Linked DNA regions of Schizosaccharomyces pombe. The gene in region 2 interacts genetically with the main gene of each other region. Each region holds a gene or a part of one and is shown on either strand. Other genes may lie near its edges. The genes, in order: frs1, trm1, maf1 and frs2.

What was found.
Region 1: of trm1 (region 2) and frs1, changing one suppresses a phenotype caused by changing the other (phenotypic suppression), as found in Schizosaccharomyces pombe (one study listed by BioGRID).
Region 3: of trm1 (region 2) and maf1, changing one suppresses a phenotype caused by changing the other (phenotypic suppression), as found in Schizosaccharomyces pombe (one study listed by BioGRID).
Region 4: of trm1 (region 2) and frs2, changing one suppresses a phenotype caused by changing the other (phenotypic suppression), as found in Schizosaccharomyces pombe (one study listed by BioGRID).

Annotation. Positions count from the first base shown.
Region 1 is NC_003424.3:4,096,163-4,104,705, forward strand, and holds frs1 (phenylalanine--tRNA (Phe) ligase beta subunit Frs1), read right to left. Parts: upstream 3,998-8,543; 5' UTR 3,962-3,997; coding exon 3,904-3,961; exon of another isoform or gene 3,853-3,903; coding exon 2,141-3,852; 3' UTR 2,084-2,140; downstream 1-2,083. Other genes in the region: tef102 (translation elongation factor EF-1 alpha Ef1a-b), read left to right, coding at 1-422; rpl1602 (60S ribosomal protein uL13), read left to right, coding at 1,172-1,212, 1,268-1,820; SPOM_SPAC23A1.14C (cystathionine gamma-synthase-like protein), read right to left, coding at 5,597-6,793; SNARE protein Sec20, read right to left, coding at 7,780-8,460.
Region 2 is NC_003423.3:3,717,662-3,725,638, reverse strand, and holds trm1 (mitochondrial tRNA (guanine-N2-)-methyltransferase Trm1.1), read right to left. Parts: upstream 2,257-7,977; coding exon 610-2,256; 3' UTR 501-609; downstream 1-500. Other genes in the region: mrh5 (RNA helicase), read right to left, coding at 1-269; ribonucleotide reductase small subunit Suc22, read right to left, coding at 2,709-3,884; MCM complex subunit Mcm7, read left to right, coding at 5,719-7,977. UniProt on the Schizosaccharomyces pombe protein: Dimethylates a single guanine residue at position 26 of nuclear- and mitochondrial-encoded tRNAs using S-adenosyl-L-methionine as donor of the methyl groups.
Region 3 is NC_003424.3:3,003,504-3,011,538, forward strand, and holds maf1 (RNA polymerase III-inhibiting protein Maf1), read right to left. Parts: upstream 5,876-8,035; 5' UTR 5,815-5,875; coding exon 5,809-5,814; intron 5,777-5,808; exon of another isoform or gene 5,756-5,776; coding exon 5,657-5,755; exon of another isoform or gene 5,293-5,656; coding exon 4,681-5,292; 3' UTR 4,081-4,680; downstream 1-4,080. Other genes in the region: RNA polymerase I termination factor, Myb family Eta2, read left to right, coding at 1-263; cAMP-independent regulatory protein Pac2, read left to right, coding at 2,635-3,342; SPOM_SPAC31G5.21 (FAM32A family protein), read left to right, coding at 6,584-6,940; 19S proteasome regulatory subunit, ubiquitin-specific protease subunit Rpn11, read left to right, coding at 7,476-8,035. UniProt on the Schizosaccharomyces pombe protein: Mediator of diverse signals that repress RNA polymerase III transcription. Inhibits the de novo assembly of TFIIIB onto DNA.
Region 4 is NC_003424.3:3,168,485-3,176,950, forward strand, and holds frs2 (phenylalanine--tRNA (Phe) ligase alpha subunit Frs2), read right to left. Parts: upstream 4,887-8,466; 5' UTR 4,862-4,886; coding exon 4,568-4,861; exon of another isoform or gene 4,374-4,567; coding exon 4,284-4,373; exon of another isoform or gene 4,216-4,283; coding exon 3,100-4,215; 3' UTR 3,060-3,099; downstream 1-3,059. Other genes in the region: png1 (chromatin modification-related protein), read right to left, coding at 1-558; class 1 histone deacetylase Hos2, read left to right, coding at 1,626-2,930; spa2 (GTPase-activating protein), read right to left, coding at 5,462-7,245, 7,294-7,422, 7,509-7,575; RNA polymerase II CTD phosphatase Ssu72, read right to left, coding at 8,004-8,466.

The DNA.
Region 1 (8,543 bases), on a different chromosome or scaffold from region 2:
GTAACGTCTGTGGTGACTCCAAGAACGATCCTCCCATGGGTTGTGCTAGCTTCACCGCTCAAGTCATCATTCTTAACCACCCCGGTCAAATCTCTGCTGGTTACTCTCCTGTTTTGGATTGCCACACTGCTCACATTGCTTGCAAGTTCGCTGAGCTCATTGAGAAGATTGACCGTCGTTCCGGTAAGAAGATTGAGGAGTCCCCCAAGTTTGTCAAGTCTGGTGATGCTTGCATTGCTAAGATGGTTCCTTCCAAGCCCATGTGTGTTGAAGCTTTCACTGACTACGCTCCTCTTGGTCGTTTCGCTGTCCGTGACATGCGTCAAACCGTCGCTGTCGGTGTCATCAAGGCTGTCGAGAAGGTTGCTCCTGGTGCCGCCAAGGTCACCAAGGCCGCTGTTAAGGCTGGTGCCAAGAAGTAATTTTCATAGTAATTTATGAAATTTTGCATTTAGAATTGAAAAAAAATCTCATATTTGTATTGATTTAAAACTGTAGCTGCAGTAAGTAACGTAGAATTGTTTTTAGTGTGTCAAGTTGCTAAAAGATGTTATTTTTAAACGAAAGTAGTCCAATACCAATTGAAAGTACTTTGTGCTCGTAGGTTGAGATGTTTACAGCACTAATTTTAAGCTAGTTTATTTTATGTTCCTTTTTTTTTAATAAAAGTAATTGCCTTTTAATTTTACGCTTCCAATTCTAGTTAAAGCAAATATAGCGGTACTGCAATGACAGTTGCTTTTCCTTTTTAATTTTAGAAGACCGTGTCTCATACACGTGTTCGATTCGACACATGTTTTGCTTATCGATCCGTTATTTTACAATATGAATATACACATTCTCAAATGAGCTTTAAAAGATACCTGTTAGCTGCAACATCAAATATATAGTCAACTGACTAGCTCAGTTCAGTTATAATATCATCCTTTGTTTATATTATACCCACAACACTTCTTATTGTTCAATCTTCCCAGATACTGCAATATAGTGTACACCACAAGTAAAATTCACCGCAAGCTAACGTGCCATTAAACTCGATTACACAGTGCGCAGTTAATACGATATAAAATTAGCGAAACACAATAAATGGCCTTGAGTTTGATTTCAAAAAAAGCAGTCACATCTTTAACAACACAACTCAACAGATGGTCAACATTTCTTCCAGCACACAATGTCGGAATTCCAGAAGGTCGTTGTGATTGACGCTAAGGGGTAAGAGAATTTGAAAATTCTAATGCTTTTTGAATTGTTTTCTAACAAAATTTAGACATCTCCTTGGACGTTTGGCATCTGTTGTCGCCAAGCAACTTTTGGGCGGCCAGAAGGTTGTTGTAGTTCGCTGTGAAGAATTGAATATTTCCGGCCATTTCTTCCGTAACAAGCTCAAGTACCTTGCCTATTTGCGTAAGGCTTGCCGTTACAACCCCAGCCGTGGTGCCTTCCACTTCCGTGCTCCCTCTCGCATTTTCCAAAAGGCTGTTCGTGGTATGCTTCCCCACAAGACTGCTCGTGGCCAAGCTGCCTTGGAACACTTACAAGCTGTTGAAGGTATTCCCCCTCCTTTCGACAAGCAAAAGCGTGTTGTCGTCCCTGCTGCCCTCCGTGTTTTACGCCTTAAGCCTGGACGTAAATACTGCACCGTCGGTCGCCTTTCTTCTGAGGTCGGATGGAAATACAGCGACATTGTCTCCAAATTGGAAGAACGCAGAAAGGTCAAGAGCGCTGCTTTCTACCAAGCTAAGCTCGCCAAACAAAAGAAGATTGCATCTGCCAAAGCTGCCTCTTCTGTTAACGGAAAGCTTGCTGAATTCGGTTACTAAATGAACGATATTCGTTAAAACATTTTCTTTTTGCCCATTTTACGTTGGTATTTCGTAATATCAGTCTTCCTGTTTTCTGCTTTTTTGTAGTGTAATCATGAATAGTTTAATGTTTTATCCTACAATTTCCTGTAGTTGCTTAATCTTTCAGTAATGGTAGGCAAGATAACTCTAATAGACGGTATTGATCCTCAACAGTTTTATAATTTACTCAAATATCTCACATGGTTACAAACTTAAGATACTTACTACAAAGATATAAATGCATTGTCTAAAAATTTATTTACGGCTTTTTTTTTTTTCCATTACCAATGTTTTATCTAAACCCAAAGTGTCAAATCAATTTCAACAGCGGAAGCAGCAGAAGTGAGTTCAAACTTCTCTAAAACAAGGGGATGGAGAACACCAAATACACCAACGCGAATTCCAGCAGTACCAAAATCTTTACGATAGTACACTGCTGCACATCGACCTGGGAAAAAGGTGCTGTCGTCCTCAGCCTCGATCCAGTATCCCACAGCATCGGAATCTTTGGGATTCATGATGCGTTTAGTATTTAACATAAGCATCACACGATCTAACAAGCCATGAATTTGTTCAAAACCAGAGTTCAAACCTGCAAAAATGGCGCAAAGATGACGCTCATTACGAGTCATGCGCTCTCTGGAATAATCACAAAAGGCTACGTCGCTGACTTCAAATATTTTAATCGGTAAAGCATGATTTTTGTTCTCGCGAACCGTTTTCAAAATACCAGGAAGCAAGCTTGAACGAACAACTTGAAATTCTAAAGTCTTGGGATTTGCAAGTTGAACAGCTTTTGAATCATCAGTCTTTCGAAGCCATGCATAATTCTCGTCATGGGAGCAAAGGATGAAAGGCATGACCTCGGACCACCCAGCATATGCAACTTCATTACGAATAATGTCAGCTAGTCGATTAACCTCAAAAGGCTTGCCAAATGTAACACTATGAGCAGGATAAGTGTGTTTCAAATTGTCATATCCATAAGCAATGCCAAGATCCTCCATAATATCACACTGGTGAAGAATATCAGCGCGCAAGGGTGGAACGTATACCAAAAGAGTCTTGGAATCATTTGGGTTGGGCTTTGCTGTAAGCATCATTCGGGTCAACAAATGACAGATCTCATCTTCGGGAAGGGACAATCCACAGGCTTCGTTCAAATAGTCGATATCAGCTTTAAAACATGTAGGATTCAAATTAGGAGTAACACGAGTACACCCATTGTGCTCAGATATGATATTAACAGGCTCAATGGTAAAAGGCTCTTCACAGTAACAAGAGAACATCGTGGTCATCATGTTGACAACAATTTCGAGTTTAGTTTTATCGGTTGCGGTAACATCGATGAAGATGTCCCGGGTATCCACACTGATCTTACTGAACTCACTATTAATGATAGGGGGAAGTGAGCAAACCCTTCTCTTAGCATCCAAAATTACAGGATATCTGGGAGAGTTGGCAATGATGTGTAAATAACGGGAAAGATGTTTACTATCCTTGTAAAATTCTAATAAATTAGAACCATTGATTTCCTGGGTTTGATTCAAAGGAACGAAATTGATCTCTTCGGGTTTTAATGCCTCGTAGGTAAACGGACCTTCCATTACAGAGAAGTCATGGGTACCAATGGCTACAAGGGTACGGTTTCTACACAAATTTGCATGTAACTTGTCTTGTAAGGCAATGAAGCTCTGGTAACGAATGGGATCAAGCTTCACACCTCGTAAGATAGCTGCAGCGGCATAAGGACGAATTTCCGAGGTTTCAGGGGAAATTGTGAGTGAAGTGGTGGAAGGAAGTAATTTGTATTGAGGAGTAGCCATGCGACGATTAAACACATTCAAAGCCTGGGCGATTCCTTCTAAGCAGAGCATATCGTAGCGATTTGCCGGAATGTCAATTTTTAAAGAAGGACGCTCAGAAGGACTTCTTTCTGGGTCATTTGTAGTGTCTTCATCAAGCTCAATTCCAAATTGGAAGCAGAGTTCATCAAACTCTTGAGTTGCTACAATTATGTTAAATTTCGCTGCTTATCAACAAATCATCTTTCACTTACTGTACTCTCTTCCTAGGGCCTTGTACAGCTCTTCCTTGTCACAGCTGATGGTAGGCATTTCCTCAAATTCAAAAAGCTTCAAAGGATCTGTGGTGAACGATGGGCTTGCCTGAACCGGGCCTACTTTACCACACTAGGAAGGGTGATCCACTAAATCTGAAGTGACTTGTTACTTGTTTTAGATTTAATCGGCCTTGGCTAGCATAGGAGTTTGGTAGGAATATATTCGTAATATAATAAATTAATATTCATTTTATACTCTGAGATATTCCATAAATACAAAACTCACGAGCTACTGATTTGTACATGCTTCAGGCCCCTATTACTAAAGCTCGAGATGATAAAAGGTAATGCAACAAATTCATAATAGCACAATTGCAATATAAATCAAACTTCTTTTGATTTATAGTCTTCTAGTCATATATTTTAAAACAACCGGCATGTAATAGCCGCATCATGAATACAATGATTTTCATTCAACAATAAAAATTTTAAGTGGTAGGTGAGATGACGATGCTGCAAATAATACCTACCTAGTAGAAATTATTGACTGGTGTACCCTTTTATCAAAAAATGAATTATAAAGGTGCCAACCACGACTCACAATTGATGAAGTATTTTGTATTTTTCTAGTGAAACATCGTCAAACCATACTTTTTTTAAGTTCAGCAAAGCCATAATTGAAAATTCTATTTAGAAAAATGGTGCTTATAATACTTCAAGCAGCCTTCATGCCAAAAAGCTCCTTGACTCCGTATGAGCATTTCAGCAGGTGCCAAAGTAGCGACGGAGTCATCGGCAGATAAACCACATAAATGACAAGTGTCCTTATTATCTCCTAAATTGTCTGGTAAAAACTTGACTTCAATCTCCTGAGTTCCCGAAATTTGCTGACGGGACAGGAAGCGCAGACGAGGAAACAATCGCGCCCATGCATTTACGACCTGTTGAGATTTCCAGTAATTAGGATTGCCTTTCCTTAAACAACCCGCAATACACCTTTGAGCAACCTGTCCTGCAGCGAACACCCCTTTGGTGTAAACCTGAGTTTTGGGGTTGCTTAACGCCGTTTGTTTTTCAGAGAATGATAAATTCGACAACTCTTCAAAAAATTCGCTCGGAAAGGCCAACTCATGTTCAACAAGTAAATCAAGTACCTCTGTCGCAGACACCTTTCTCAATGCCTGAGAACCAGGTATAGGCAAATCATCTTCCAAATCTAGTAATGCTATTGAGTCCAGGTTGATACGATTTTATTATTAATTTCTTTAAATCGTTTTTTTTAGAAAAATTCTTTAACAGAAAAGAGAAAAAGTACCTTCACTTAGTTTTTATACGTGAGTTCTTTTTTGGTTATAGTTTGAATCATGAAGGGTTGAAAAGTCCATCCTGGACAATTGAGGGAATACTTAGTTATGAACAAGTAAAGGCTTTGATGGGTTTTGTTAATGCCAAGCATGTTCGAAGGTTAAAGAATGAAAATGATCGGGTTGATGACCTAGAACATGACATCTCACCGATTCTATCGTACCCTTCGCTTTACTGTTGCAATAGCGATCAAGGTGAATTTTTACGTGAAACACAACAATACAAAAAATTGCAAAGAAAGATAGCAAGAATTAAAAATGTTCTCAAAAGGAACGAATTACAATATTCATTAGTACATTAGAAAACAAGCAAATAACACAATGATTTAACTTAAAGATGCAAAGACACGATTCAAATCGGCAATCAAGTCAGCAGCGTCTTCAATACCAATGGACAAGCGAACAAGTCTAGGATCAATCTTGGAATCCGTCATTCTTCGCCATTCAATCAAACTTTCCACACTACCCAACGAAGTAGCGTGATGGAAATATTTCAACTCGCAGCACAAATGCTTAGCAACTGTGTCAGATTTAAGTAGAACAGAAAAGCAAGATGCATGACCGCCAGTCAAATTTTTAGCGACAAATTCCTTGGTCTGCAAGGAGTTATGGTAAACCTCCAAAATCAGGCTACTATCAATTCCTAGGCTAGTAGCAAATTGCTCATCGGTAGCCAACTTGTTCAAATGTTGGGCAACCAAAAATCCGTTTTCACTGTGTTTTGCGATGCGAAGAGGAAAGGTACGAAGAGAGCGCAAGAGTAAGAATGCTTGCTGAGGATGTAAAATTGTGCCAAGATAAGCACGATCTGCTTTCAAATCAAGGATCTTGGATCTATCTTTCGAGGCTGTGACTCCAGCCAAAACATCGCTGTGGCCGGCTAGATATTTAGTCGCCGAGTGAACTACATAATCAGCACCTAAAACAAGTGCATCCTGGATAGGGGGTGGTGCAAAAGTAGAATCCACAACAAGTATGGCACCCTTCTTTTTTGCCAGTTCCTTGTAAAAAGGAATGTCAAAGGCAATACCTAAAGGATTCAAAGGAGTTTCCAACCATATAACATCACCTTCACCGATGGCATCGCATTTGCCATCAATAAATGAGGTTTCTAAACCGGTTAGACGATTGATGCGTGCAATAATTTGGATTGTGCCTGAATAACCACCGAAACCGGGTTTATGAACGGCGATGTGTTTGGGATTTAAATACGACAACAGTCCGTAAATAGCAGCCAAACCAGATGAGTAAACAACAGAAGGTGCACCAAGAACACTGCTCAACGAAGCTTCAGCTCGATCAACATTGTTGCCGCTGATACGGGCATAGTATGGAAAGTCTTCCTCCGCTAGTTTGGTGAAAGGCTGAAGAGTGTCAGGAGTACCGGGATAAGTATAAGTAGTAGAAATATGGATGGGAGGAGCCACATCATTTTCTAATGCATAAGCATCATCGGCATGCAGTACATTAGTACTTAATGTGGACTTGATGTCAGAGAGATCGAACGAAGGAGTGTGAGTCATGCTAAACTAAAGAAAAAAAAACAGAGATGAAATGCAGAAAGGTCACAACAAATGAATTTCGAGAAAACTAGTGTTTACACGTTTACGGAATTAATAATGTTTATATCTAATTGAATGCTCCTACACTAGTAATCACCAATCGACCAAAGAAATAAGTACGAGATCAAACGACAGATACCTAGTTATGATAATTCTTTTAAAGACTTATATCTCCGTTAACTAACGTAAAGAGTTTGGTTAAAGACAAGTTGTTGTGAGACATCGCGGGGCATGTGCCTTAATTTATATCGTTATGCTTACGTGCTTGTAAACACTATATTACGCATTTGAAGTAGAAAGCACACAAACAAATAGAACCAGGACACTGAATAATTAGAACGTTTGGTTAATGAATTTTTACATAAGCAGTTATTAGTTTTAAGTTTATAGGTTTAATGGAGTTTGCTATCCGATCTCAGATTCTAGGCGTTCGTACCGGACCCTAGAAAATATGCGACAGACTTAACAAGATGCGTTTCCCAATTAACAAGCGCTCTAGTTTTTATTAGGAATTCAAAGAATACTGCTCTTTTTGTACTGTGGTCAAACAAATGGTTTTGACAATCAAAGAGGCATATACAATAAGAATGATTTGAAATGCAGCTGCATGCCGACTGTCGCATATTTCGTGAGCAAGAACTCATTTTGTTTACGGAATGGCGTTTCCCATTGAGTTACAAATACTATAGCATTACTATCATCAGCAAACTTCTACGCCATTCAACGTTTTTATTTAAAGAGAACAACACGTAAATAAAAACCAATCGTATAAGATAAACATTAAAACATAAGAACTACTTTACAAAGACTTTTTCAAAATAAAATTGAGAAAAAGGGCGAAAAAATAATTTCTCGTATAGATACTTCGAGCTCGATGGGAACGAGCCTCAAAAAGCCTTGCTTTTAATCTCGCCTTTCTTTTTAATAAACAATGCATTTTCAAAATCTCACCGAAGAAACCAAAGAAACATAGAAAGAATAGGCCAGACAATTCGCTTGAAGAGAAGATAGACAACCACAAATATGAAGAACCCAAATCCCGAGACGACTAAAAAGTAATCACTTCGATCACTTAATTTGAGCGATTTGATTATCCGTTTACTTGTATATAAAACGTCCTCTACACCAAAATATTTCTCTTGTAGAGTTTCTAACAAGTTGGTACTCGAAGACAACTCCATTGCATTTTCGGCACTCATATCCACTGCCTGTACCATTTGTGCGTGAATATCACGCATAGCCGCCGTGACCTGACTGGCGCTTGTAAGATAAATATCATCAGATTGCCACGAACCAGAGTTATCCATTGAACGCTTTTGAAGAGAACCATCACTTGGTGAGGTAATTTCCTCTTCATCTACAATCTTACCTATTTCTTGTGCGATAGGCAACCATGGTTCACCACTAGCAATCTTATTCCGATATCTTCTGTTCAACCGAATGTATTCTTGTACAGCCTTTTCATATCGTAGAACTGAGTCTAGCTGAATGGATGAGTATTCAAGCTCTACCCTTGCAGTTTCCCATATTTTTCTAAACTCTCGAAAATGCCTTTTAATAACTTCAACGCTTTCTGACTGTTGTAATTCAACAACTTTTTCTTCTAGTGCATTCAGAACGTCGGCCATCGAATGCTATGTTCTCTGCTTTATTGAACAAGTTAAAGGAGAAATAGTATTATGAGATGCAAGAGGAAAGAACGATAAAGGTA
Region 2 (7,977 bases):
TGAAATTTTGGTCCATTGGGTTCATGCAATTTCTTCCTTCGGGTTACCTCTTCATCTCCTTTATTTGTGTAATTTGGTAAGTATCTAATTAGTTGATTTTCATTCAAAATAACAGGCCTGCCAGCTGTGTATCTTGGACTAGTGATATTGATAAATTTTCGTGTCTGAAGCAACCAAGGAACACTTCGTCCGTTTAGACGCAATCCCATCACATTTATAACTTTTATTGCATTAAAACGATCCAATATCGAGGCAGGACAACATTTCATGAGCAAACTGTTGTTGGACGAGTTAGTACCCCACCAACGAAAGTAACAATACCAAAAATTGTTGAAGCAAAAGAATTAAGAAAATATTTGCACCTTCTTTAAATAATTATGTAAAAAAGAAGAATACGGTTAAACAATAAATCATTTTAACATTGCTAATTGTGTTGCGGATACTATTAGTTTAAACAAGTATTTAGTATGGAATACACAAACTAAATCTTTTTTGTACTAGCCTGTTTATAATTTGCATAAACCTTCCGAAATAACATAAAGAATGAAATTGTATGTACTATCCAAAAACCTAAAATACAAGGAGTATTTAAACTGTGCTCCACTTTACCTAAGATTTTGAGTCAACTTCAGCGATAGTTCTTTTACCAGGTTTACTTTTTGGGCCCCAATTTTCAGTTGGGTTCATTTGATATCGAGTATAACCTTCTTTTTTGGATGCAAACTCGGAATCGGGCCTGAATGTAAAATCAACCTCAGCTGTGGGAGTTTTTTCCAAAATCGCTGCTCCAGCAGATGTTTTACTAATATTTTCAAGCTTCACTGGATGATCTTTAATCCAAGAGCGCAAAACATCCCAAACGAAGGACCAGGGAGCATTTGTTTTAATTGCATTACTCTTGGCATGAGAACCAGAAACCCGATATCCAGCGTTTAACAAAGCTGAAACAAATATATTTTGAGGAGGAGATTGGGAGCGCAAGACGCTACAAATTTGGGATAAAACAAAATAAAATGGAACATCTGGTAGTTCTTCATCAGCCAAAGCGAGCATACCTAAGATTCTTCGTTTAGTGCCATAGACTTCAGGGTCTAAATCTTCTGCAATGGCGCGCATTTTTTTGAGAAATTCTGCATCATGTAGGGGTCCACCCCATAAAGGGCCTCCAACATGATGCACATATCCACAATGTTCACAGTTAGCAGATACAGGAGGCCCCGAAGCATTAGAGAATTTGGTGGTTCCAGGTAGTCTTCCCGGAGAAGTTTTTCCAAGTGGTTGCTCGGCAAAGCTACCGCAGCCTGAACAATGGTATATCAATAGCGATTGACTTTGTAAATTTTTTACGAGAACAGGCTTTGCTTTAATTTGAACAAATACGCGAAAGTAAAAATCAATACTTAGGGAAAGTAGCGGCTTGATAGCGCGACCATATTTTGCAGCAGAAGCTGCAATAGCATAAAGCAAATGACGAACAGCCTGCTCATGACAAAAATTAGAGCGCAAAGAGGACCCACCATAATTAGAAAAGCATTTCTCTGGATATGCATTACCGGCTAGAACAGCTGAATCAGTACATGTGATGCATAGAAGACCGTCCTTTGAAACGGATTGTACAGCAGCATCCAGAAACGGGGCAGCAGATCCATAAGGATCAAGGTCAATCACATCGTAATGAAATTTGTTCATATGCATAACAGCATTAGCGTCTCCTTTATTAGGAATTACTATATCGCTCACATTATTGTAATTAACATTCTTCTCGATGGTTTTCACAGCATTTTCTAATAAATCATTTGCAAGTATCCTTTTGACATTTGGCAACTCCTTAGCATACCGAATGGAACGCAATCCAGTAGCGGAAAGTGCTTCTAAAATGGTAAATCCAGCAATATTATCAGCTGAAGTAGAATCTGTCTTTTCCGAACAGTTTTTTTCAAAATCATGAGTTGTATCACATTTAGTAAGATTTTCTTGGCTAAGTTCGGAGTTTTGATCGAGAAGCTGATGCCGGTGATGAGATTTTGCAACAATTTTTTTGGATCTAGTTTCCGACCAAGCACGAATAGCTGTAACGCTTAAATCTCTATTAAATTGTTGTACGGGGTTATAAAAGACTTCATTCGGATTTGAAAATGGTATAATTGCACTACCCTCGGTCAAACTTGCAGAAGCCCCCGACATCATGGCGGTTGAGAAGTGATTCACAGCATTTGAGATCCTTTGACTTAATCTTAGCATATTGGCTTCATACATTTAATACGAATTAAAGAAAAATAATCGTTAAAAAAAAAGAAAGTATTGATTATTTTTGAGAGTAAATTTGCAGTAATTCATTAAAAAAATACGAGATGTGATAAGTCAACCATAAATCGAATTACAAAGTATTGTATAATACATGTAATCTTGTAGGTTTAGGTAATTGACAATAAGGATAATAAGTAAATGGTCTTTTAGTCTATGACTGGAAAATAACTTTTCTTAGACGTAGTAAATTAATGAAAAAGAGAAAAGAACTTGAATAGAAATACTTCAGAAATTAGAACTTCGTCATTACATTCACTGAAGTAGCCATTTAGATTTGTAAAGTATAGAGTAACGAAAATCTAATTAAACATATTAATTTATTATTGCTAAATAGGTTATCAGTAATCAATAATATTTTTTTTTTGCTTTAACTTATCTAAAAACCAAAAATAACTAGTCATCTAAAAGTCCTCATCGATTGTAAATGTATGATCATCCTTCTCAGCGCGCTTGGTACCCGACATAACGCCAGCAATTTGGTAGTCAGAAACTTTCTTTTCAAAGAAATTTGTTTTTCCTGCTAAAGAGATATTCTCCATGAAATCGAAAGGATTGGTTACGTTATAGTACTTGTCATTGCCCAAAGCAACCAACAAACGATCAGCAACAAATTCAATATACTGACACATCAAATCCTTATTCATACCAAGCAGACTAACGGGAAGAGCGTCCGTGAAGTATTCTTTCTCAATATCAACAGCTTCAACAATAATGGCTTCAACAACCTTGCGGCCTGGTCTGTGCTTCAAATGACTAAACATCAAACAGGCAAAGTCGGTGTGAAGACCCTCATCACGACAAATCAATTCATTGGAAAAAGTAAGACCAGGCATAAGTCCACGTTTCTTAAGCCAAAAAATAGAGGCAAACGATCCAGAAAAGAAGATACCTTCTACAGCAGCAAAGGCAACCAAACGAATTGCATAGGTGGAATCTTCATCATTAATCCAACGAAGAGCCCACTTGGCTTTGGCCTTAATAGAACCCATTGTTAAAATAGCATCGAAATGACGCTGTTTTTCCTTAGGTTCACGAATGTATGTATCAAGCAAAAGTGAGTAGGTCTCAGAGTGAATATTTTCAATCATAATTTGGAAACCATAAACACAACGAGCTTCAGGGATCTGAACTTCAGAGCTGAAACGCTCGAGAAGATTCTCATTAACAATACCATCTGACGCAGCGAAATAGGCGAGTACAGTGGAAATAAAGTAACGTTCATCAGCATTTAACTTGTTATCCCAATCAACCAAGTCTTTCGAAAGATCAATTTCCTCAGCAGTCCAAAAAGATGCTTCAGCCTTCTTGTAGAATTGCCAAATTTCGTGATACTTAATTGGAAACAAAACAAAGCGGTGAGGATTAGGGCGAAGCACAACTTCATCAAGCTCATCTTCCTTTTTGCCCAAGTAGTAGTCGCCTCCTTCCTGTTTCTCTTCTTCACTTACATTATCAAAGTTAAAGGTTTCTTTAATAGATTTAACATAAATTTTACGAACACCTTGTTCGCTATCATACTCGACTTCTTCACCATGTTCCTTAGGATAACTGAATTCTTCGAGATGCTCAAGGCCCATTTTGTAAGATTAATAATGAGATTTCGTCCAAACTGACCGGATTTATCTGTATATAGAATAAGTACAAAAGTTTTCTTCCACCGCGATTATCTCTTGCGATGTGGCTTCCCAAGATGTGTTGTGGTTAATGGCAAAACTTTCAAAGGTAGGTTATCCAATGTAGTGCACAGTATTGTAGTATATTCAACACCACCGTTTTTTTTGTGGATGTTAATTTGTCGCACTTTGGGTATGATAACACAATGAATAAGAGTGAAGGCAAAATAGACAAAATGCTGCCTTATTTTACAGAGTGGAAAATTGCAGTTAAACTAAGTCAAAGGCTGATGGAGATGAATAACGTTGAAAAAAAACAATGTACTAATTAATATTTGGAGACAAACGCAACGAGTAAAAAAAATGAAATAAATTCGAAGACAATCTCAAATTAAATGGGAAAAGCAAGGGCTTACTTCCTTTCCCTTCTGGTGTGTTATAATAACGGTTTCTTAAAGCAGGAAATTGTAGCTAGTTAATAGAAAAATGTGATAGCTTAAATCGAAGAATTCGATGCTAAGCGTGGAGTCGAATAAATTCAATTATTTAGGCTCAAATAATTGAAAAAATAGAAATGAATTTATTACTTTATGTAATAAATAAATTATTAAATTTCTCACTTTTTGTTATAATTTAATAAAGTAGTTTTCAGTGTAATACTTAAGACGCGTCAGGGTACCTCAATTTATGTTGTAGATGAAACGCAATGATATCAGCCTAGTAGTACGATATGATGTTAGAAATAAATATCTCTTCACAATCTCCTTTTCATCCGAGATGTAGAGCGCTTTATAACTGCTCAAATATTACAAATCACGAAACTTCTAATGCGACGCGACCGTACATAAAGACATTGCTTAATTAAAAAAAGATAAGCGCGACAGAGACCTAGCCACATACTGTGAATAATTTTAATACCTTGATCCTTTCGTAAAAAAAAAAAGAAATACTTATATTCGTCTATTGTAAACAGAAAATAAATAAGCATTCCAATAGCACGTTTCTATTGCGTGTTGTGCTTTTAGGTACAGTTTACAATGTGGTATAAAACAATAAAGAATTTTCTATATTCATTCTTCACTGATGTTTGAAATAACCGAACAAAAAATAAAAAGTTCCCTACTCGAAGTTTTTATATTGTTGATATCGCATTTCTTTTGAGAATTTCCCTGCTAACTTACTTCATAAGTTTTCAAAAAAATTTTTAAAAATAAAAGTGAAATAAATTTTAGGCAGTAGTCTAAATAACTCTCATGTTTAGAAATACAAAACGTGTAGAAGAAAAATAGGAAAAATTATGGATAGCTAAAATAACAATCGATTGAAGCAATGAAAACAATTAGACATACATTTATGAAAATAAAATGACCAATTTATTGTCTGGCAAAATGATTATTATTAATTTAAAACAAATAAACTGTTTATTTATACATAGTGAATACTCTCCAAAAAAAATTTCTAACAGTACTACATAGTGGCTTTTAAAATCAAACTGAATGTTTACTTTTGCTGCGAGAGTAATAAATTAAAAAGGAAATATGTAGAGAATCAAAAAAATTATACACTGCAATTTCTTTAGAGTCAATGACAATTTGTATATGCCCTAAGTTACAATATTTACATTTTTGTTACCTTACGAGTTCGCGTTGATTCATACTACCAACTAACTAAAACAACCTAAAGAAGAACCTTTCTTGGTATCTTACCCTTACTTAATACCCTTGCTTTCTTTTTGAACCTTTATATTTTTTGCTAATTCAGCAGAAAAGTTTTGGGATACTTTTTTGGTTTGAAAAGCATGGCACTTCCCACCATAGATTTAAAAATCCCAGAGTATGAAGAATGTCAACATAAAATTACGGATTTTCTATCCCACTTCAAGCAGGAACAGGTTCAAGATGGACAACAAAATCAGGATATTTCGATGTCGGATGCAGGTGATGAGCCTTTTTTAAAATCAAAGTATATGGATATACTACAAAAAATCTCCAATCGAGAGTCAAATGTTATTAATGTTGATTTGAATGATTTGTACGAGTTCGATCCAAGTGATACTCAGCTTTTGCATAATATTGAATCTAATGCTAAACGGTTTGTTGAACTTTTTTCGCAGTGCGCAGATGCGTTGATGCCTCCTCCTACTGTGGAAATTAATTATCGCAACGAAGTACTTGATGTAATTATGCAGCAACGTGTTCAAAGGAATGAAAATATAGACCCTGAGCATAAAGGATTTCCTCCTGAATTAACCCGAGGTTATGACTTATACTTTCGACCAGTAACTCGCAACAAAAAACCATTCAGCGTTCGTGATTTAAGAGGCGAAAACTTGGGATCTCTTTTGACTGTCCGTGGTATAGTTACTCGTACAAGTGATGTTAAGCCTAGCTTAACTGTAAATGCTTATACATGTGATCGATGTGGGTATGAAGTGTTTCAAGAAATCCGTCAGAAGACATTCCTTCCAATGTCTGAATGTCCTTCGGATGAATGTAAAAAGAATGATGCAAAAGGTCAGCTTTTCATGAGCACAAGAGCCAGTAAATTTCTTCCTTTTCAGGAAGTAAAAATACAAGAATTAACGAACCAAGTACCTATTGGCCATATCCCTAGATCATTAACCGTCCACTTATATGGTGCTATCACTCGCTCTGTAAATCCTGGCGATATCGTTGATATTTCTGGTATATTTTTGCCGACTCCGTATACTGGTTTTCGAGCAATGCGCGCCGGGCTCTTAACCGATACTTACTTAGAATGCCATTATGTTTCACAAATCATTAAAAATTACACAAATATTGAAAAAACTCCTCAATCGGAGGCTGCTATCGCTGAATTAAATCAAGGAGGCAATGTGTACGAAAAACTGGCCAAGTCCATTGCTCCCGAGATATATGGACATGAAGATGTTAAAAAAGCTTTACTTCTGTTGCTTGTCGGAGGTGTTACTAAAGAGTTAGGGGATGGAATGAGAATTCGTGGTGACATAAATATTTGTTTAACTGGTGATCCTGGTGTCGCAAAATCTCAATTATTAAAGTATATTTCGAAGGTTGCCCCGAGAGGAGTATACACCACAGGTCGTGGATCTTCAGGTGTTGGTTTAACTGCTGCTGTAATGCGTGATCCAGTGACGGATGAAATGGTTTTAGAGGGAGGTGCCTTAGTACTTGCTGACAACGGTATTTGCTGCATTGACGAATTTGATAAGATGGATGAAAGTGACCGTACAGCAATTCATGAAGTAATGGAACAGCAAACTATTTCAATTTCAAAGGCAGGAATCACTACGACTTTAAATGCTCGAACAAGTATTTTGGCCGCTGCGAACCCCTTATATGGACGATATAATCCGAAAGTGGCACCAATCCACAATATAAATCTTCCAGCTGCACTGCTTTCCCGGTTTGATATTTTATTTTTAATTTTAGATACTCCTTCTCGTGAAACAGACGAGCATTTGGCACAACACGTAACATATGTTCACATGCATAACGAACAACCTAAAATGGACTTTGAACCATTAGATCCAAACATGATTAGGCATTATATTTCTTCTGCTAGACAATATCGCCCAGTCGTACCAAAGGATGTATGCGACTATGTTACTGGTGCTTATGTTCAACTTCGACAAAACCAAAAGCGTGATGAAGCCAATGAGCGTCAATTCGCTCACACTACTCCACGTACACTTCTCGCTATTTTGCGAATGGGACAAGCATTAGCTCGTTTGCGTTTCAGTAATAGAGTGGAGATTGGCGATGTTGATGAAGCTTTGAGATTAATGTCTGTTTCAAAGTCATCACTATACGATGATTTGGATCCTAGTTCTCACGATACTACTATTACCTCGAAAATATATAAAATTATTCGAGACATGCTTAATAGCATACCAGATGTTGAAGGCAATGAACGCTCACTTACACTACGTGCTATTCGTGAACGCGTACTTGCTAAGGGTTTTACTGAAGATCATTTAATAAATACAATACAGGAATATACAGACCTTGGTGTTCTTTTAACTACAAACAATGGTCAAACAATAATGTTCCTCGAT
Region 3 (8,035 bases), on a different chromosome or scaffold from region 2:
AATCAAAGGGTAAACGCAAATTTTACGTCGCGGATAGTTTAAAACTACTAGAACATGTACAAAGGCAATGCGGAGAAGCAATCTCCATAAATGCCATTGATTGGAAAGGCATTGTCAAGCAAATGCCAAAATGGTCCGAGGAGGAATTGAGAGCGCAAGCCACAAATTTGGTAGCGAGTGTTCGCGGCTGGAAAAAGACACGTTTAAGTGAGAGTGTGAGAATCGCAATTACAGATTTGAAAAGTCTTCCTCCTGACGTATAATAACAAATATTGCAGACGAAACGTTAATAAGTGCGCAAGAAAAAATAGTCAAAAAATATCTTTTTTGCTGGTATGTCACGTTTGCCCAGGTCATATTGAATGTTTTTCTTGGCTGTCTCAATTTTCCCACACAATATAATGATATTTCTCATCTCTTTTTGCGACAGGGGCGAAAATAGTTGGACTGCACTTCAAGAGCAACCGAACCCGTCTACCTGCAAAACGTACCTACACAAGAATTCTGCAGCATTAAAGTTTATATGGCAGAGCAATGGAGAAGAAGAGTGAGTCACCTGGTTCCTCTCCACATACTGGATACTGTTGATTTAGGTTCATTTGCGAACCCATCAATCATTTTACTTCTCGACATACTGTTGCCAATCTAAATTACTTTCTTTTCATACTTGTTCCAATTGCTGGTTACCTGATATCCTCTCTCGTCTACCTTAATCCGATTAAGTGCGATGTATTTGCAACATGCACGTGTGCATTGTAACCAGCCTCATTCCGAGCCTTTCCGCTTATTTATTTATTAAATTTTTAATGTATATTCGTTATTTAATTAATATCTAAGCATGGATCGTATGGTTACTAACTTATTTCTTACTTCATCCCTGATAATGACGGATAATAGATGCAAAAATGAATGGTTTGGTGGTGGCCAACGAAACAATCGACACTGCTACGGCTCTACTAAAACAAGTCACGTTCAACGGTTCATCGGCTAATATTAACTCAAAAAAAAAAAAGAATAAAATAAGTATAGTTCGGGGTCCGAGATTTCTTTGATAGTCCCTTGGACATTCTATTTTAGCATTTCAACTAACAACTGAAAGGGCCGGAAAATCTTTGAAATTTTTAAATCTGTTTAACTCATCCCAAAGTAATTGAGTGTCGGAAAAGAAATGGCCCGAACGGTTTTATGAACCGGTCCCTACTAAAGAATAACAAAATTCAAATATTGGAAAGGCAGGTTTTGGTTTTGAACGCAGTTGTTGGATTGAAAATATATTCCATTGTACTTTGTACTTGATAATCAAAGTAATCTTGTTGTTGATCATTAAAGGCGTATCAACAGTGTTGGGGAAAAAGTTTACCTTGAATCTTATCTAGCAGCGGAAACTAAATAATTATATTTATTAAATTGTTAGACCAGCCTAAAACTATCGGGATTAGCGTTGGGTAAGGGATTTACGGAATATTTACCGTATTAGGTTTTTTTTGAGTTTTAAAAATTTAACTCGCTAACATAACCGAAGCCTCGCACATATAAACTATCTTTCAACCTACTTGACTCAACTTTTCCTTCACCAACCGCAGTGTTGCATTAAGCAGCAAAACGTTGTCACCTTCGAATAGCGTCTTTTTGACGAATAAAAAGGTTGGACAACAAAATTAAATTAAGCAAATTTGTGTATAAACTAACAGCAAGTGAAGTTGTACCGGTTGTATGATTGAAGCATTGTAAACCAAAGAACAGCTACTTTGCCTTGTCGTACATTAGCTTTTTCCTTTGCAAAGAACTTTTAGGGACCTTTTTTTACCACAACTAGAGAACCGGTGTAGAAAGGTGTTCTATTTTAGTGAACGGATTCGTTTAATTTTTTCATTGAGAAAAAAATTTGATCTATCTTGATTTTTTCGACTGTTTCCATTTTTAACTATTTGTGACGTTTCTTATTGCCAAATTTCAACCTTGAGCATTGTTAAAAAAGCTGAATTTAAATTTCTTTGCTTTTAACATACAAGTGAGCTATTGGGTTTGTAAAGATTTAATACTTGATTGGAAGTTTTTTTGGTCAAGTCTGTTTTTTTTGGGTGTTTTTTTGACGATCAGTTGAAACCGCGAATAATAATATTTATTATAACTCCCTAAAAAAAGAAAGAAAATCATTTATTAAATAATTTTTACTTTCCTTCATTGTTTCTGAATTTTGCTTCTCCCTGCCGTTTAATTGTTTCATTTTCTTTTAGAAAGTACTAAAAGGTAATCAAATCGGCTAGTCTTGCAACTGAATTTTCTTTGAAGATAATATCTAGATTTAATTTTTCCCTGCTTGAATTTCCTAAGATCTTGCGTTCGTTCGGACTGAATTGCATAATTTATTGAAGGTCTCCATTCCTGTATACTTACTCGACTACCCATTTATCGGTCAAGCTGTATATATACACGCACAGTCAACTTATCTTCTACTTATATTTATAAAACTATTTATTTTATTTCTCTTTAATCCGAGCTTCGTTAGTTGATTCTTTTGATCTTTGCATTGGTAACTAATCCAGTGCGCTTTTTTTTTTGAATCTTCGTGACAGCTATTTTCTGATTTTACTTCATCTTCAAACTACGATCTGATCGGCTTTGCCTTTCGTCATGCAAACTTATACAGGTATCATTAAGACCCCGTTGGATGCGATTATCCTTTTCGAGGCCTGTCGAATTGGTCTTCTTCCACGCGTCCAGCGTCGATTGTCCGACCATGAAAGAAGCTTGATACGAGCAGGCAGTGTTTTTGTGTGGGATGAACGGGAAGCTGGAATGCGCCGTTGGACTGATGGTAAATCATGGAGTGCTTCTCGTGTCAGCGGTTCATTCTTAACCTACCGAGAAATGGAGGGTAAACGTAAACCTTACCATCACGGTCTTTCCACCGATGGTTCCCTTAAACGCTCTCCCTCTGCAGATACGACTGGTAATAGTTCCCTAAATGCTTACAGCAATGAGGACAGTGGAGCCGCGAGCTTGAGTGATGAAGAGTCGGTTGATGATGAGAACCTACGGGGGTTGCATTACAAACCGAACGGCTTAATTAAGCAGTCCTTTAGTATTACTACCTCCTTAAATCATAAACTTCACCTTATTTCCTATTCTTCGCCTATCCCTGATCCTTCATTAGTCACGCCAAGTAGTGATGTTAACCTTTCACGTATCACTATTCCATATGGACTGTATCCAGACGCGGGTCCACCGCTTGTTCAAGCACCAAAGTTTCTCGCTCCTTATGATATTCTTGTCGAGAAAGTTGCCTGTAGCGAAGACGCGCGCGTTTTGGATAAGTTGCGTCAAGCCCTATGGCTATAGGTTTGATCTTTTTCTTCACATTGGGTCCTACTTCTCGGTTAAAAAGTGTACTAAATTTACTATAGATTTCATTTGCATCATATATGGGGCTTTAACGACTCCCAATCAATCCTAGTTTCCTGTGACATTTTCTCGGCTGCGTTTTCGCTCTTACTAATCTGCGGCTTTGTCTATCAGCGTCTAATTTATGTGGTTGATCAATTTTAATTTCAAGTTACCACTTCATTCTTCAGCACTTACGGCAAGTGATAAAAACAGAAAGCTTGTTTTGATTTAATTCATTAACTAAGTAATCGCTCAACTGTCTTGCAAATACGTTTTCTGTTCGTCGGTTTAGATGTGTATCGTTATCATAACTCTTTAGACATTTCGCTTTACGCATTATTTTGTTTCGTCTGCGAATATCGGAAATGTCCTTTTTAAAGAATCTTTTGTGGTTATTTCATCAATGCTTCCTTTTTTCTCTTTATTATTTATTTCTTTTCATGATGGAAATGGTTAAGTAAACGTCTATCATGAAGCACGGTAGAACAAGTATTCAACATTTGAATTATGCACTCAACATTTCTATTTTTTACTACTCAACTTAGAGCTCATGTTCGGGTAAAATGATAGGAAAGCATCAATTCTTAGGGTAATTTGAATTCCTTAAATACAACTACTATGAAATTAATTCTTTATCTTTTAAGTAAATGCATAGCTTTTATTTGTTGTAAATGAAGTATTTTCAAAGAAAAGGTAATTTTTAAATTGAATAACTGAATACATCATTATGCTATGTCAAGATGATGCTTAATAAGGCTTCAAATATTCGGGAACTTGATGTGAACGTTTAAAGATAGTTAGGCTCAGATGATTAATGAGGACAGATTAAAAAATTTTCCTCTAAGGTCAAATTGCATGTACAAACCTATGAAACAGTTGTTGGAAATTTTTTAATCTATTATGTATAAACACGTGTGTTGCAAGAGAGTAGAAACCGTAGTACAGTCTGGAAAATCTTAACGTACAAATCACATGTGAAAAAATAGGTTCCTTAAAGGATAAAAAACAAAAAACAAGAAGTACCTAAAATGCTGGGGGCATATTTTTTTTTTCAAAAATGCAAAAAAGAAAGGGTTGCTATAAATAATTTGAAATAAACTAATTAACAGGGAGATATTAAAGAAAGGTGAGGTTTCATGTATTTACAATTAGAAAAAACAAGAAAATTTCGAAAAGTCATGATTCTGAAATAATAAAATGAGCACGGTGCAATTTAGTTTGCGAGTTGAACAAAATGTAAAGAGAGAAAAAGAGAAAGTAGCAGAAACCATTACTTCCCAAATAACCAAAAAATTAATCATCCATGTTAGCAACCCAATCGTCATCAAAATCGCTTGGCTCTGCATCGTCCGCAAGTGGTGTAAACACAGAATCATCGTCATTTCCATAACGATTCCGACCCGAGACTTCCTTGCCCAAACCATGAAGTGATAAATAAAGCATGCGCTTCATATTTTTGTTAAAAAAAAAGTAGGACATCCCCCATATTAAAGCATCATCGCCGTAAGGATCGCTGTCGCTATCTGGAGTATAGGAATAAACGCTGCAATCAGACAGGTTGATATGACGGTCGATAATTTCCCAAATTCCATTCACACTCAATCTACCACGACCAATGTTATTAAGTGTAGAATTAACGGAATCTACAACACGAGATAGTGAAGGCTCTTTGTAAAAATCTGTTGGTTGGAGGCTACTAAAATCATGATCGGGATAAGAGGCATTAAGAGTAGCGACAATGTACATAAAGGTACGACGAGAAGAGGACTGATCAAGAGGCCCAAATGGACTTTGCTGAGTTAGGCTGAAAGCATATTCCGGTGATTTACTACTCGATAATGCAAATAGATCCTCCTGACACCGATTCTCTATAGCTTTAAAGAGTTTCTTGTCAGAATTTGTACTCTATAAAATTGTTAGCACATTTTATATATCAGTATATTCATGTCTTGGTAAGTTAATAAAGCAGAATGCTCCCGAATCTAAAAACAGACACTCAGACGCGGTACTCCATTTGGTAAACAACAATCGTAATCATTTTGGTTTCAGATTTGAAACGTAAAGAAACTAAATAAATAATCACAAAAAAAAACAATGATTATATAATTAGCTGATCTTGTACAAGAGACCAAAAAGAACCAAAATTGTTCAACTTAGTGATTTGACCACGCAAGAAAAGAGGATCATTATTAAAAGCATATGTCAAATTCAAGAACCAATGTACAATTTTCCCTTTACCAGACTAACCAAGCTTACAAGTTAAATTTACCTTGGTTGTATAGAGCTCGCACTTTCCGCGTATGCGACAATCATCGGCATCAAATGATAAGGCATTATTGACTGTATCTAAATCGGCAAGCTCAAGAAACTGGTCACAAAAACAGGGTTTAGTAAGACAAATAAAAAGTAAAATATATTTACCTTCATAGTAATTGTAATGTAATCAATTCAATTGTTTCCTTTCATTAAAAAGAGGTTTGCTGTGGTTAGGTATCAGCGTCGCGTCCAACGTCAATGTCACTTCTATTAAGGGTACGTTAATCTTAAATAACAGACTATAAGCTAATAGTAAGCGTAAGGAGTTTGTTAGATGTCGGTTCAACATTTTACCGAAGCTTAATATATTTGAGAAACCATCCCGATGCATTGCCATTTATTTTTTTATGCTGTTTTAAGGTACTTAACCGTATAATGTGTTAAAGTCCAAGTCGAAATGCATTTATTTATTCATAAAAATAAATATTTTAAGTAATTAAAAGGAGTCTAATAAAAACAAATCAGTTTAAAAATATCGATTATAAGTTTTTCCGTATTTTTCTGATGAGCATTGAGTAACTCAATTTTTCAATATTCAATTTTTTCTACAATTCTTAAAAGAAACGGTTCAAGTATCATTATTAACCAAAAAAAAAGTAATAATAATTTATTTAATGAATAATCGTCGCTTCTAGAGTATACTTGTACAATGAAATTGTACATATATATACATATTTTTTTTAAATTGAGCCCATTAATAAACTTGCACAACATACATCAATTCTTTTATTGTATTACTTATTACACTTTTACTATTAAATTATATTTATTTTATTTTATTTTTAAATTCAATTCCTAGTGTAAAATGTATTAAACTGTTTCACCTCTTATCGTACAGTTCAAACATTTTGCTTACACCAACTTACCTTTACCAAGAACTATGGACTACGTTGGTGGTTCTCTAAAACTGAAAAATGTAAAAAAAAAACCTTTGAAAAAGAAAAAGAAGGATTCTAAAAAACTTGCTGAAAAAGTTCAAGAGCATTCTTCCCGAGATAAATCACCTTTAGAAGAAAATGGCGTATCTACGTACCAAATGCTTCGCTCAAAGGATACAGACTCGGCTATGCCGATGACGGAAGCACAGAAACATTTTGAGTCTGTTCAGGAACAAAGATTACTTCAGAAAGCAAAGAATGAGCGATTGAAAACACATAAAGACAGGATTGATGAGTATAATAGACTACTGGAAAGTCAGTCGGAGCATTTTGACATGCCTAAAATTGGACCCGGCTAGTTTTCAAAACACGTCCTTTTTTCTCTCAATAGCTATACTTAAATAGCAATGGATGCCTCCTCTATTCTGCATAGTTTTTCTCCATCCACCTACCATATTCTTTTATGAATTACGCACTCTAATGAAATCACTATTTTATTTTAACAATACGCATTATACCTCATTATTGTTATAGCTATTCATTTGTCTCTAGAAAAAACCTGTTTATAGCCAACTACCACGTAAACGTATACTAGCTGCCTAAGTGAGACCAAAGACATAGAATCTTGTATATTCGTTTTGTATAGTGGTTGAAACATATAGAAAGAACTTCCTTTGAAGAACAAGCACATTATAGTGACCTTTGATTGTTTTTGTCGTCTTACTAAATATCAGTGAACAGCATTAACGTTTTGGTAACTTTATTTAAATACTTATACTGAGTTTCTCATTTAATCTCCAATTACACTTTTATTTGCGGTTATTTGAGAGGAACCCCACTGATACTGATAAACTCTCATATTTCAATACATACATACGAGTCATATTTTTCGCGATGGAATCTTTACAAAGATTGTTACAAGGTGCCCGCATGGGTACTGGTATGATGGGAGATCAGCCTCTTGTTGATAATTCCGAGTGTGTATACATTTCATCTCTAGCTTTGTTAAAAATGCTTCGTCATGGGCGACATGGTACACCAATGGAAGTTATGGGTTTGATGTTAGGAGAATTCGTTGATGACTTTACAGTACGTGTTGTTGATGTTTTTGCAATGCCTCAATCTGGTACAGGTGTCAGTGTAGAAGCAGTCGATCCAGTTTTCCAAAAAAATATGATGGATATGCTTAAGCAAACAGGACGGCCAGAAATGGTTGTAGGTTGGTATCATTCTCACCCGGGTTTTGGTTGTTGGCTTTCTAGTGTCGATATCAACACCCAACAATCATTTGAGCAATTAACACCAAGAGCGGTGGCAGTTGTTGTCGACCCTATTCAATCTGTCAAAGGAAAGGTGGTAATTGACGCCTTTCGATTGATTAATCCGTCTACCCTAATGATGGGTCAGGAACCCAGACAAACAACTTCCAATTTGGGTCACATCAACAAACCTAG
Region 4 (8,466 bases), on a different chromosome or scaffold from region 2:
TGCCAACGAAGCCGTATAAGGAGAGTGATAGACTCCATTTTGAATTGCACCCCTGGTAGTTGCTGAAGTACGACGGCGACCAGCTGTTGAGGCTCCCGACCGAGAAGGGGCCGGTGTTTGACGAGCACTTGAGGCACCACTTGGACTGTATCCACCATACGGTGAAGAAGCATAGTAGTCAGGAGCATTTAACAATTCCGCAGCTGTAAATCCATGACCGGCCTTTGCAAGTCTATCATCCAATCGCTTTATGTGCCGTGTAAGTCCCAATCTGGCACGATCCGCCAACTGGACTTTCTCGTTCTGTATATTAATTGCCTTTTGATACTCCTCGCGAATCGTCGAATACAAAGCATCTTCTTTTGGATGTGGGGTCAAGGAACCATGTGATTTAATGTATGACTGAATCTGAGAATCAGCTGCTTGAATTCTCTTCCAGATGTCATGTACAGCAACTTCCTTCACACTAATTTCGTCAAAGATGTGTTTTGTTTCGTTGGGAACATTATCCAACGTTTGCAAATACTCACTTAGTATGTAAGCTGTATCATCTGCCATTATTCTCAAATTGAAAATTATAGATACGTTCTAATTTCCGCTTTATGCAAAAATTATTATTATGATTTCAAATTCCAAAAGAAAGGGAGATTTGAGTCTTTTAAAGAGATAGGGAAAGTTGATATTCCACTAATATTTTCGATACTTCAATAACTAATGAATAAAAGATACTATGACTTTATCTTTTAAAGTAGAGGAATGTGACAATAAATGTACAAACGAGAAGGACAAAGACACTAATTGAAATAATATATATGAACCTATGGCTCGTTTTTGTGTCGTTTAAAGATTATTTTTACACTCTCTTAAGCTGCTGAAAATTTTTCCGGTTGTTTATAGTAGCCCACATTTGGTGTTGAGTTCCGCCACTCCATATAATGTAAACACAGTACTGGAAGGCAAAGAGGGCGAAATAAAAACATAAGAATTCACGCAAACCAAATCACTTTGAAGATAAATCTTTTCAACGTATGTATGATATCTAAGTTGCCAAATTGTCTATGAATTCACATGCTAAAGGTTACCATCTGTTTAAGTAATAACGATACGTTATTAATGTGTTAGTTCATATATGGAAGCATAACATACTAAACTACACCTAAGTTGGTAGCTTCCTTCTGTGTTCACTGAGATATACATTTTTAAGTTATAAGAATGAACCAGCACTAGCAATTCTTCAAAAAATTGTAAATCCTATTTGTTCTTGTGTTTATGGGCTTCAAAGAGTTTGAATTAACGCTTTGTTGAAGTTGTACATTTTATCTAATAAGGTATCGGGTTTAGCGACCTTTTGCTACGTATTCTGCGCTCGACGTAAAAATAAAGTATTTACAGTTCGTGTTGCTGTTTATTATTTGGATTGAATTCTTTTCTATAAAAAAATCTGGGTTGTTTTTCGATTTATATTAATTTGGCATTGGTCAATAACTTTCATTTCTCTTGTTTCTTCTGAAACAGTTATTAATTTGTTTCTTAATTTTATTTATTCTTTTCTTGTTCTTTCTTTAGAAAAGATATTTTCATTTAATTTGTCTCGCGGTTTTTTTTAGTATAATAGTCTGTATATCATGGATACTCCTGAGACATCCACACCTTATGAACAAGTTGAAAAGGGGTCTTTTTTTAGCTTTCGACCTCAAAAAAAGCGTGTCACATATCACTTAGATGAACAGGTGGGAAACTACCACTATGGTGACAAACATCCAATGAAGCCCCATCGAATTACCATTACAAATCATTTAGTGATGGGTTATGGGTTGCATAACAAAATGAGTGTATTCAGCCCCCGGATGGCAACTTTTGGTGAAATGTCAGAATTTCATAGGGAGGATTATTTGGATTTCCTTAAGCGCGTTACTCCTGATAATGCTGAACAATTTGCTGATAAGTTCCAACAATTCAATATTGGTGATGACTGTCCGGTCTTTGACGGCACTTATGAATTTTCTCAAAGGTCGGCAGGCGCTAGTTTGGATGCTTCTCGGAAGTTAGTGCAAGGTCAAACAGACATTGCTATCAATTGGAGCGGTGGTCTCCATCATGCAAAGCGTGGTGAGGCTAGTGGATTCTGCTATGTTAATGATATTGTTCTAGCAATTTTGAACATGCTACGGTTTTTTCCTCGCGTTTTGTATATCGATATCGATATTCATCATGGAGATGGTGTGCAGCAAGCATTCTATGAATCTGACCGCGTGTTGACGGTTTCTTTTCACAAGTATAATGGTGATTTTTTTCCTGCAACTGGTAATTTTGATGAAAATGGCGTGAAAGGAGGGAAATATTTTGCTTTAAACGTTCCTTTGGAAGATGGTATTGGTGATGAACAGTACACTAGTCTTTTCAAATCCATAATTGAACCAACTATCAATACTTTTCAACCTTCTGCAATTGTCCTTCAGTGTGGTGCTGATTCGCTTGGTTATGATCGGCTCGGCGTGTTCAATCTGAGCATCCATGCACATGGGGAATGTGTTAGATTTACCCGTTCATTCAATATACCCATGCTTGTAGTTGGAGGTGGTGGTTATACTCTTAGAAATGTTGCTAGAGCGTGGTGTTATGAAACTTCCATATGTGTAAACGAACAAATACCTTCAGAATTACCTCGTGAAACTTTGTATTACGAATTTTTCGCACCAGATTACACCCTCCATCCGCGATTAACCACGAAGATAGAAAATAAAAATACACCGAAAGCTCTTGAAGATCTTCGAATACGGGCCTTGGAGCAATTACGTTACTTAGGAGGAGCGCCAAGCGTTCAGATGCAGCAAATTCCACCAGACTTAACTGGGCATTTGGAAGAAGAAGACGAACGGTTGAATGATGAATACTTAGACAAAGCTGTGGATGTTCGCGTTCGAGGCTGATATTAATGAATTTTCGACTTTTTATTTGATATCCGTACAAACATCAAATAATTTTAGTTAATGTTTATAGACATTGTAAATATTAATAATTGACCCTATACGAAAATACGTTTACCATAGTGATTATGTATTATTTTTATAAACGATTATGCAAAAAAAAACACTAAATTTATTCCTCTTTGTCTAAACGAACTGCAGGGCTAGCCTCAATTAGGTCCAAGTTAACCTTAGGACCAATCAATTGTCTAATGTCGGCCACACCATATTTGATCATAGTGGGGCGCTCTAAAGAAAGACCAAAACCTAAACAACGAACATCTTTAGGTAATCCCATAGGCTCTAACATCTCCGGACGGAACATGCCGCTGTTTCCGACTTCAACCCACTTACCAAGCTTTTCGTGGTAGGAAAAGACTTCCAATGAAGGTTCAGTATAAGGATTATAAGCAGGTTTGAAGCGCAAATTTTTAACGTTCATTTTTCCAAAGAACACCTCAAGGAAACCGATCAAATCACCGAGGGTAATATTTCTATCGCAGATTACGCCTTCGACTTGATGAAATTCGGCAAGATGAGTTGCGTCAACGGTTTCATTGCGGAAGACCCGATCAATTGAGAAGTATTTAGCAGGGTGAAAGCCATTTTGGGCAAGTTTGTACAACATATTCGCCGAGACAGCAGTAGTATGAGTACGAAGAACTAGTTTACGAGTTTCCTCCAAGGAAAAGGGAGCACGGTATCCAATGCCCTTAGTCTCACCACCGTTTTCGTGAGTGGCCTTTACTCGAGCAACATATTCGGGATCTGGCAATTTATCAGTAGAAGCAGGAACTTTCAAAAAGAAAGTATCTTGAGCATCCCTTGCTGAATGTTGTTGGGGGACAAATAAAGCATCAAAGTTCCAAAATCCACTTTCAACAAAATTGTTGGTTGGCATTTCTTCAAAACCCAATTCGAAGAAAAATTTACGGAATTCTTCACGTACTTTCATCAAAGGATGAAGACATCCACCAGCTGGAGGTATACCTTCAGCTGCAAAGTTGTAAGATTTAAACTTGGCACTTTCCCATGATCGAGAGGTGATCATCTCAGCAGTTAAATCGGTGTTCAGTTTTTCAATTTGAAGCGAGAAATTTGGACCTTTCCTCAAAGAGAAGTACATAATTTTGTTACGTTCAACAAGCTTTCTCTTCTTCAAATCAGTTAACGTCTTACTGTCAGAGATAGTTCCATGTTCCTTAATTTCACTAAGGACCTTAGGGGTCTCATCTGTAATGGAATCAGTCTGGTCAGTTAGTAAATAAAATATTGCATAACGTTAAATCAATTTGCACTACTATAACTTTGCCTTACATTTTTAACAAGCTTGTCTCCATCTTTCTTAATCCAACCGAGTTTAAAGGCTCTTCCTTGACCAATACCAGCCGAATTCCCCAATTTTTTCTAAATCAGTTAGAAAAAGTACAAAAAAACTAAAAGGCAGACGTAGCGATATGAAAAGGTGTTGCATCAAAACGCGAAAAATCGAAAATGCAACATAATGCTAGAAAAAAAAAACTAACAATATTTACCGGGCGTTTAGACTTAATTATATTTAAATGCTTCGTCGTTCACAACTACGATTCCAATGACTTTACCTTGAGTTCCCCAATATTTAAACCGCTCATAGAAGCGCAAATTTCATTATAAACTTTGGCTTCATGAGAACCATTTGCGCAAATGTTTTCACCCTCTGCAGTCAAATTGTAAATTTCAATTTCATGTCTTGAAAATTCAATCATGTTTTTAGCAGCTAATGACAAAATCGCCGATTGAGCTTCTTGAGGACCTAACTTCTTCCCATCGAATTCCAAATGACTGGTGTTTGGAATTTCATTTTTTTCGTTTAGCTTTTCAAGCAGGAAAACTTGAAGGGCTTCAAGCTTTGACATCTTACAGCTTTGTTGGTGTGTTGGCAGTAGGTAAAGTAACTGGCGATACGCGAGTGCTACGGTGAAACGGTGAGCATCGGATTCAAAGCACTACACATTAAGCCGTCGTTGACAAGTTTATGTTTTATGTACTACTAAAATTTATATATGGTAAGAGCATACAAATTATGTCAGATAGAAAATGTTCGGGACATCCTAATTCAGATTATCCATCTCTGTTTGAAATCGCTGATATAGCTACGATACTCTAACAACATCACGAAAACAGTAAAAAACGTACTTATGAGAATTCTTTTAATGTCAATTAAAAAAATTGATCGATTTAGTATAATTAAACTTGGTAAAGAATAGAAAATTAACAAAAATGAATAACAAAGAGTGATTATAGGCATGTATAGCCAGTTAGTGGTAAACATTGATTTACCCGACAAAGTTCATCATTTGAAGCCAAAATAAAATTGAGGGATTAGCTTATACAGCTGAAAAAGAGGTTTGGTGGGAGCAACCATTGATATCGGAATTCAACAATATTATAGAATATAAACAAGGTGGAGAAAACCAATGTAGCTTCGCAAATTAGTTATATCAACATTTGTTGCTTTAACGGGTGGAGAATTGTGTCCGCTGGACGCTAAATTCCGCATCTTCGATAGCCCGTAAAATATCTTTAAAGCATTTGGCCGCAGAAAAGGCGAGATCAGTCAGAGGGGGTACGGAGTTGTTGTCTGTAAATCCAAAGTTTTCACCATGTCCTTCTTGCTCAATTAACTGCATGCAATATCTTCGCATTTCCTGAAGAGCGTTATGAATTACCGCGTACGCGGCACGATCCCGCATAAGTTCTAACGGTGAAGATACATCAAAAAGTGTGTCACGTATAACGTTGATGTCTTCATGAACTCTTTGCTGGATGGTAGACGAAGAACTATCACTGCTAATAGCATCCAAAAGCTTTTGATTGGTCTCACTAAATTGTTTAGATTTTTCGGAAAGCAAGGTTTTTGCAACAGATAATGCCTTCAAATCGTCAACCGGATGAAGTGAATTTCTTCCGACCGAAAGAGAAGATTTTCCCGTGTTGGTAAGTCCATAGGTTTTTGCAATGTCCATAAGACTGATACTTATAGAGCAAGCAGAAGCATCGACGTGATAAATGGGAAGTAAGGCACCATTTATTACAGCGAGTCTTACTTGCTCCATTAAACTATTTGTGAACGAACATAAATCATCAACCTTTTTTCCTAAATCGGGAAGCTCTTCTAAAAGCGACTTCTCCCGCAAACTGGAAACAATGGCTTCCAAAGTCAAAGCAATATCCTTAGCAGTAGACATCCACTGAGAAGGGCTATCCCTTCTTAAAGATGCCACAAAGACATTCATTTCAACGAAATAACGAATATAAAGCTGTTCATCTAAAAATCCATTGGGTGAAATCAGTTCCCGAATAGACTTCATTGGAACAGTAGTCATGGTAAACAATCTTATATCTTCGTCAATTTTTGCGGACTTCGCGTTGATAGCAACCTTTTTCCAGCGTTCCGTTTCGGCCTTCAAGGAGTCAATACAGCTTTCCAATTCGACAATGTGCTGGGTTTTTGAAGATTCGGCAACAATCAATTCTTGCATTAGCTTTAGGTTTTTTTCCAACTCAGGATTAAAACTAAGCGTTGGGTTGTTTTCGAGCTCTTTTATTCGATTTTCAGCATCGTTTAGCTTTTTTATTGAAATTTCAGCCTCATGGGATGCCTCATGAAGCTTTTCCTCCAATTGAAAGATTTCATTCTTATGTTTCGTAGCATCAGAAATGCTTTTGGCTTTTAAAGCCTCCATTTCAGATTTTGAGCTGTCAAGCAAAGAGTTCGATTTTGCCAAACTACTTTCCAACATCTCAATTCTACTCAAGTAATTTGACGAAGAATCAATTCCCGTCTGAGCACCCTGGCTCAATGACGAGGTAGAGGAATTATTTGCTTGAACAGTATTTAAAGCATTGGTATCTGGAACATTCGGTAGACGATGAGACAAGGAAGTAGGAGAATCAGTATGCGTTCTATTAGCATAACTTGGTATAGTGGGAGAGCTTGTGGTTCTTTGTTCAGTTGGATGAAGGGAAGCGGAAGAGGCGTTGGCACTGCTATACAGATCGTGCTTGGGAGCGGAAGCAGGTAAACGTTGCACCTGAGGAGGAGGCTGAGAAGCAGCTCTAGTCATGTTTGGTGGTGTATTTGAAGAAACTTCTTTTAAAGCACCACTATATCTTGATTGAACTTCAAAAAACACATCCATACAAAGATCCCGAAGCCTTGTAGGAGCAAGACTAGAAAGTTTTTGTCGAGCATGATTCCGCTTGGGATGATAAGAATCAACAGGAGGTAAGAATCTGACTATAAGGGGTTAGAATTGTAGACTCATAAGAGTGTAAATCAAAATACCTTTGGGATCATTGTTGATCCTACGCTGTAGTTCATCAGCAACGTCTGTTAAAAGTTCACTGAACTGAATATGAGACAAACGCTGAAGCTTTTCACGTGGCCTCGCATTGGCGTTCCTTAGGGCTGGGTCTATAAAATAGCGTTAGAGGTGATTACATTGTTTCCGTGGGTCAAAGCAATTGTACAGCTTAATTTTAAACCAATTTTTAACATACCTTTAACAAATTCAGGCTCTAAGTAACGAGCTAAAAACCGATATTGACGAATAATAATACTTTGCATAGTTTGAAAGCAAATTTAAGACTAGGGATTTGAGGAAAGAAGTTGGAAAAAATGAGCTTTCTATCTTTTTCAGGGAATTAAATGATATGTCCTTTCTTTTACGCTGACTTGAAAAAGATAGACTGTGTAAATTAACTTAAGGCAGTTGTACTAATACAATGGGCAAGGACGTGCTGGACCCTAAATTAATTTGATATAATTTTTCTGTGAATTAAATTTTTAAAGAAAAAGTCTTTAAAATGCCTAATGTACTGCCAAACACATTAACAGGCAAACGAGTGCGAAGAGAAATCTTCTATCTAAAAATATTACTGACAGCTTTGCGTCCTTGCCAATTTACTGTGTTTATTACTTAGAACGTTGTAGATATACTAGGAGAAAGGACATGCTTTATTAAATTCGATAACGACGTGTAACGATAAATGATATTAAAAAAAATGAATAGTATACAATACAGGAAGTTTAGGATGGTTAGATTGAAAGTCGGCCATTATAGAAGGGAACAGCTCTTCCAATTTATCCTGTGCCTCGGTTAATTTGTTGACTAAATCGAGAATGGCCTTTCCACCTACGCTGGCCTCCTCATGGTTATCTTTAATGTCAACGTTTATTAAGTACACAGGTCGATTCAATGTTTCACCTCGACGATACAGATCCTCACAAATGGCATCATAACATCTTTCTTCGCAGGTTATTACAATGTTGTATATGGAATCTTGGTCCTGCCACCGACAAGGAGCGCGCTTTATACGGCGATTTCGGTCAAGCATTTTAAGCAATCCATTGGCCGTGTATAGCCGGGAATCCTGGGCCTCGAGCTCTTTATAAATTTCATCATATGGATACCCAAATTGATAAATGTTAGGTTTGTCAATACTGGGACCCGGCAAC